2 linked regions of the Rattus norvegicus genome follow. The protein of the gene in region 1 interacts with the protein of each later gene in a pairwise test. Links are inferred from orthologs where the notes say so. Each region holds a gene or a part of one and is shown on either strand. Other genes may lie near its edges.

Evidence for each region.
Region 2: the proteins of Tmem239 (region 1) and Cxcl16 interact in a two-hybrid assay, tested with the Homo sapiens proteins (2 studies listed by BioGRID). The two-hybrid records come from large-scale screens. The link is inferred for Rattus norvegicus from reciprocal best matches to the Homo sapiens genes TMEM239 and CXCL16.

The regions. Positions count from the first base shown.
Region 1 is NC_086021.1:138,056,618-138,059,686, reverse strand, and holds Tmem239 (transmembrane protein 239), read right to left. Parts: upstream 1,811-3,069; 5' UTR 1,754-1,810; intron 1,673-1,753; exon of another isoform or gene 1,621-1,672; 5' UTR 1,607-1,620; coding exon 1,151-1,606; 3' UTR 597-1,150; downstream 1-596. Other genes in the region: uncharacterized protein C20orf141 homolog, read right to left, coding at 2,290-2,527, 2,611-2,768.
Region 2 is NC_086028.1:55,667,553-55,671,302, forward strand, and holds the start of Cxcl16 (C-X-C motif chemokine 16 precursor), read right to left. Parts: upstream 2,399-3,750; 5' UTR 2,113-2,398; coding exon 2,043-2,112; intron 1,861-2,042; coding exon 1,722-1,860; intron 1,511-1,721; coding exon 1,428-1,510; intron 1-1,427. Other genes in the region: Zmynd15 (zinc finger MYND domain-containing protein 15), read left to right, coding at 3,322-3,750. UniProt on the Homo sapiens protein: Acts as a scavenger receptor on macrophages, which specifically binds to OxLDL (oxidized low density lipoprotein), suggesting that it may be involved in pathophysiology such as atherogenesis. Induces a strong chemotactic response. Induces calcium mobilization.

The DNA of each region.
Region 1 (3,069 bases):
CATGGTCCGAAGCCCTCTCATGGAAGCAACTTGCTTAATCAATTCTGGAAATCCCTGAGCTATTATTTTCCCACTCACACAGCCTTACAACATTTCCTGGACCAGGCTCCGGTCTCAGGCATTGCACAACTCATCTAGTTCAGTATCTGCCTAGCGTGAGGCCACGTGGTACCTTTCACATTTCATCGCCCCGTTCATTCCATGTCAGTTCTGGGGCTGGGACTCCATACATGACAGATTTTCTGTGCAAGCCTAGAGAAACATACTCCATCTTTTAGCTTCTGAATCAAAAGGCCTTTTGAGCTTAACTGCTGTTTAGCCTTACAAAGTACTTTTCATAAAACCAGGCATGATGGCGCAAGTTTTAATCCCAGTACTCTGCACATAAATAGAGGCGACAGGATCAGAAATTCAAAGTCATTCCCAGCTAAAGAGTCCAAAGCCACCCTGGGCTTCATGAGACCCTGTTTCAAAACAACAGCAAAAGCAAAGTAGTTTGCAAACAGATACTGGCTTTCGATCGTAACGACATTATGAAAACATGGGGGCTCCCTTAACGCTGAGGTTCAAGAATAGTGAATTGGCCAAGATATGGAACTTTGCATTTTTGTAACAGACCTGGAGGCTCTTAAAAATATGAGTATGTAGGGTGGAGTGTTTGCTTATGCACAAAGCCTTGGGTCCAGTCTACACACACACTCTCCACCCTCCCTCAGTCTCCCCCATGATTGGCCTCTTTCCCGTTTCTGTGAGGTGAGGTCCCCAGCCTCTCTTTCTGTCAATAAAACCCATTCCAGAGTGTGTGCTCCTCCTGGAATTAGAGAGAGGACCCGGGACAAATCCAGACAAGCCCAGGGATATGTACATGGAAACTCTCAAGAAGCCTGGAGCTGGGAGGGCTGAGGTGGTGACAAAAGGGTTCTGCCAGGAAGATCAAGTGACATGGTGCTTTCCGTGGTTTGTCCTAGCAAGACCGTCCTGTTCCTGACACCAGTGTGGGTTTAAGGTAGATGCCCAGAATCCAGACCCCCACTTGTGTTTGTGACTGGGGGTCTGAGGTCTGTTGGAGTTTCCCTGCCCACCCTCCCCACAGGGCTCAGGCCCTAGGCCAGGGCTCAACAGACACAAGCAGTAAGATGGGGTTGCCCTTCTATTGGTCCAAGTCCTGAGCGTAGCCTGGGTGAGTCATGGAGGTGAGGAGGCCCACGAGGCTCAGCAGTGTGGAGAAGAGCAGCAGGAAGGAGGCAGCGAAGAGCAGAGCAGGCAGGGCACTGAGCACAAGCAGCAGGACAGCTGGCAGCAGGTGGCTCCACATGACAGCCACCACAGGCCACAGGGAGCTCAGCAGGTGGGAGCCAGTGGTGAAGAGTGCATGGCACAGCATCAGTGCCAGCAGCAGGTACAGTGTCCCCTCCAGACCCCATAGCATGCGCTGCAGTGGTTGCCTCCAGCCTGATGTATTCCACCACTGGGCCCAGCTCCGAGGTATGTGGCATACCCACCAGCGCACCCAGTCCTGACGGAGAACCCAGGCTGACCAGGGCGCTGCCCGCTGGGGCCCCTCGCCAGCCCCGATGATGTCCGTCTCCACTCGTGGCTGCTGCATCACGGCTGGTGCACCTGTGGATGGGGCCAGGCCAGCTGCAGGAGCAACCCTGGAGATGCCCAGGACCTTTGGATAGGAGGGCATGCAGGGGTCAGGAGGATACCAGCATGGGCAGGATTGGGCTTTGACCCGGGGGCTAGGACTCACCTTTGGGCAGAGCCACCTAAGTCATGGTGCTTCCTGTTGTGTGCAGGCTAACCTGGCAGCCAGGTCCCAGTCTCACCCTCGCTCACCCCACCATCCCCAGAGGGGTGCATTATGACCCGGGCTGGGGTGGGGCCCAGCCGAGAGAAGAGCTGCTGCAGTGTGAGACTCACTCACGTCTTTTACTCACGGCCCCTCCAGGCTGGCAGGAGAGCTCAGCAAGCCTCACAGATGCCATTCTCCTTGCTTGTAGGAAGCCTTCTCCACACCTGTCCCTCCTGGATGGCTGCCTCCAACTTCATGGCTGGCATTGGTTTCTGTAACCACCCTTTTCTCTGCCTTCTCTTAATGCCCTAAGCCTCAGACCCAGCTACCAAATGTTCATATTATGGAACTAGAAGGTTCAAGCTGAATATACTGGACTATTCTGTCCTTCCAACAGACAACCTTACCCTCACGTAGCTCAGGATGGAGGAGAAGAAATCAGAGAGCAGATTGGATGGTGTGTTTTTAGAAGGCATTCATCTTTTGGAGGCCCCTCAGGCCCACGGATGGATACAGAAAGCTAGGCCCAGCATGGCTAAGGGGATACCAGAGCCTCCCAAGAGCAGGCTGAGGCCCAGGAACAGCAGGAGCAGTGCATCCTGGAGTCTGAGCAGTCCCGAGACTCTCCCTGTTGGGGACAGGGGAGCTGCTTGCTGTCCTGGCCCTTCACCAGCCCCCTGGCTCTGACCTGTTGGGAGAAGTCTGTGCCGTGGCAGGTTGGGACCTGTGGATCTGTGGAGAGAGAAGATGGCAGCTCGAGGCAACTGCTCATTTGTCCCTGTGTTTGTGACACCTACCTGACAGGTGGCACTTACCCACGGAGCAGGTCAAAAACAAGGAAGCTGGACAGCAACAGGAGCAGCAGGGCTAGGCCAGCCGTTGAGAAGACTGTTCGAATCGTCACTCCTAGCGCCCCCAGCCCTAGGATACTGTCCAGGAGCTGGGCCTGGCTGAAGTCCCAGGGGACACACATGGCTCACTGACACTACTCAATCCCTCTCCAGTCTCCAGCCCCTCTGGAAGGAGGAAGTTGGCTGTAGAATAGTTCTGGGCATGAGTAAGCAGAGCCAGGTCCCAAAGGTTATTAGGGAGTCCTCGTGCTAGGAGATTGAGGATCAGTGAAGGGATACAACACTCCAGGGTGAGCTCAGTGAGTGAGGAACTAGCCTCTTTGGGGATCTCCCTCCCCCGACTCCCACCCAACATCCTCACCAACTCTCCTCACCTCCTCCTACTTGGGTTGACCATTCTAGATTTGAACACTCTGGGGCATT
Region 2 (3,750 bases), on another chromosome or scaffold:
GTGTGCTGCCCTGCATGGGACCCTAGATGTCCTTTACCCCTCGTCTACAGCCTTCTGGGACTCTCTTCAGAGTAAAAGGCCTAGGGTATCTGAGAGGGTTGAAGAATACAATGTAGTCTCTGTAGCCTGAAAGGCAGTGGGGTACCTTTGATACCAGGTAAACTAATTGTTTGAGACAGGGTTTCTTTGTGTAGCCTGGCCATCCTAGAGCTAGCTCTGTAGACCAGGTTGGCCTCCAACTTACAGAGATTGCCTGTCTCTGCCTCGTGAGTGCACTTTTGGAGGCCTGCTGGGAACAGGACTTCTAAAAAAAAAAGCAAGTATGTCTGGAAGGCTGTGGTGCAAACAATGCTGGCTACAAGCGAGGTCTCTGGAACCAAAGAGAGCACACAGCTCTTCTTAAAATTGAAGGTGTTTATGCCTGAGATGAAACTGAGTTCTACTTAGGGAAGAGGTGGGTTTTGTTTGTTTGTTTGTTTTGTTTTTTTGTTTTTGTTTTTGTTTTTTTATAAAATAGAGTTCATTCAGGGCATGGGGGGAGTTAAGAGAGTCGTAGAGGCAGAGAGAGAGAGAGAGAGAGAGAGAGAGAGAGAGGTGGAGGTGTGTGTGTGGGGGAATAGAGGCCAGCCATGAGTATGTGGGGGGGGGGGTTAGAGAGAAAGAGAGCAAGAGAGAACAAGAGCGCAAGAGGTGTTCTTATGTGTTCAAAGCAAAAAAAAAAAAAAAAAAAAAATACAGTGACTCCTGGAGGAGTGATCTGGGGCAAACCAAACAAAACCAGAGTGGTCTGGGGAAAAGTAACTGGGACCCACAGAAACAGTGATGCGGTTTTTGTGCCAAATTCCAAAGCAACCTTCCTGCAAAGGCCATTGGACACAGAATCCGTGTGATCCTGTGTGATGCTGTACCCATCCAAGATTTAAACTAATGGAGATTAAATAAAGAAAATTAGATTTGTATGCTTGGGGGAAAAAAGTATTAGAAAGTGAAAATAGTACCTTCAGGTGATTTCAATTAGAACACAGCAGGTAAAGCCAAGCCTGTTGCAGAGTCCTGTAATCCCAGCTACTAGAGAGGTTGAAACAGGAGGAGACCATCCCGGTCAACTTAGTTAGACCCTGTCTAAAAATGTTTAAGAAGCAGAGAGATAGATCAGGGGCAGATTAGCTTGACCAATCTTAAGTACAGTTTATAACAGTGACTTCAAGAAAATATTAAGTAACAGCATATGTAGTAGGACAAATTGGCCAAAAGCAGGAAGATGACAGTAAATGATATTGGGAAAACACTGACTTAAGTGACAGTACTTCAGCGAAAGTTTTTAAAAGATTTTAAATAGGAAAAGTGCTGTGTGGCAGAGGCAAAGGGAATGGTAAGATGGCAGCCTGAACCCTGATGGCCCACTGGAGGACAGAAAAGGCTCTCACGTTTGTGCTCAAAGCAGTTCACTAGTTCACGGACCCACTGGTCTTGGCTTCCTCCACACACACTCTTGGACTGCAACTGGAACCTGCAAGAAAGTCAATCTAGTCTCTTGGCCACTCCTTCCTTTCCCTACCATTCCTCATTCCAAAGGTGTGAAGTCACAGGTGAGCCGCACTGTGGCTGGAAATCCCCAGAGAGACGAAGCTAGAAAGGAGCTAGGCTCCCCGACTTGGACCGGGTATTCAGATTGCTGGTTCTACAACTCTGCCCTCCCGGGGAAAGGAAAGAGACAGTACCTGATAAAGAATTGACAGCGATGGAACGTTTTCAGATATTTTCGCATATGATTCAAAGTAGCAGGCGGTATCTGGGTGCCAGAAGGAATTGTACGATCACAGTAGCAACTTCCAGCGACACTGCCCTGGTTGCCATCGCCTAAATGGAAAAGAAATCAGCCTCGGTTTTTCAGACTGAGGAATCTGCCCTTGTCTCAGACAAGACTTTCCCTAGTCACCGCTGCAGCCCTTGACGGTTCAGGGCTGAGTTCTTAATCCCTCGGACGTAGTGCACCTCCGCGGTTTCCATAGGGGGCTCCAGTCCCGCCCCCCCTGACTAACCTGGCAGAGTCAGCAGCGCAAAGAAGAAAAGGAAGAGTGTAAGGGCCAAGGGTCCAAAGCCCCGCCTCATCTCAGGCCGCTGCGGAGCTTGTTGAGGCCAGGTCACCTAGCCGACATCCAGCAGATTCTCTATTGCTTTCACTTCACCCTGGCTGATGCTTTGCGGAGGCGCTGATCTGTGCCAAGCTCAGGAAGGGAGGGGGCGCGAGGTGGTGGCGCCTTCTGTCCCCCGCGCGCTGTCCTGAACCGACCGTCTGGTCAGTACCGGGGAGCCCGCGCTGCGCCCAGCTCCCAGTCGGGGGACACACACATCCCTGCCCCGGAAGGCGGAGCTCCTTCCGACTCGAGACTCCTGGCCAGCAGTAGGGTCAGCCAAGACTATCGGACAAAACCGAAAGAAAACTTGGGCTAGAGCCAGAAGAATCCGAGTGAGCAAGCAGTGGTCCCGGAAGAATGACTCGGTTGGGTTCGGGGATTTCAGTCCTCTTGAGCGGTCATCTGTCTGTCTGCTGGTTTGTAAAGTGGTTTACCCTCTAGATCCTTCCTCTGGCTCCAAGATGCTTTCACTTCCCTGGACCGCTGAGTCTCAGTAGGATCCAGTCACATGGCCAAGGTGAAGCAGTCAAACAAATCCCCAGGACTGTGGGAGTGTCCACGCCCTGTCCACGCCCTGGCCAGGTACTGCCAGATGCCCTAAGCGCGCCACTGAAGTTATGAGCTGTGGGCACGGGCGGCCCTGACGTCACGACGGTCCTCCAGCACGAGGTATTTACCTTCGAAAAGTGGTGGCGGCTGTAGGTACCGGAGGAGAGGAGCGGCCAGAAAAGGGGTGGGTTTTAACTGGGGCTCACACCAAACCGATCCAGACCCAAGAGATGCCTCGTTACTTACTTTCACTTCTATTTCCCACAGACCAACAGACCCCCAAATTTACCTTTCTCAGCAAGCCTTTCTCTATAAGATTAGCCTTACCTCATGTCTTCCCTTAATTCAAATCGCATTTTAGGATTTGAGTCATTGAGTTTTGTGCCCCAGGTACAATTTCATCCCTGAGTACTCCCCTTTAACCCTAAATATCCACTTTCCCATCTAGCCTCCCTCCATTCCCGTCCCTGCAAATCCTAGTCTCAGCTCCTAATATTCCTATGTAGATCTTACCTCAAGCCCACACCGTTCTCCCTTTTGTGACCCAGCCCAAACCCACCACTACCCTGATCCTCATGGTTATCATATATCCCTTTCTGCTCAGTCTGGGTCCAGGCCCTGTGTATCTAAAGACATGGAGTTTGTGTCTGGATACCGAGATGAGTTCCTCGATTTTGCTGCTCTTCTCTTTGGCTGGTTCCGCAAGTTTGTGGCAGAGAGGGGGACCATGGGAACAAGCCTTGAGGGCCGATGGCGTCAACTGGAGTCTCAGATAAGGAGGCTGCCTCAGGACCCTGCCCTTTGGGTGCTCCACGTTTTACCAAACCGCAGTGTGGGCATCAGCCTGGGGCAAGGTGCAGAGCCAGGTCCTGGGCCAGGCCTAGGGGCTTCCCGGCTCCTGGGAGACGAACCTCCACTTCACCTGAGAGACCTGAGTCCTTATGTCAGTTTTGTCAGCCTAGAGGATGGAGAGGAAGGGGAGGAGGAGGAGGAGGAGGAAGAAGAGGAGCATGGAGAGGAGAGACCAGGCACAGAGAAGGTGGAACTGCAGGAGGGTGGGGAG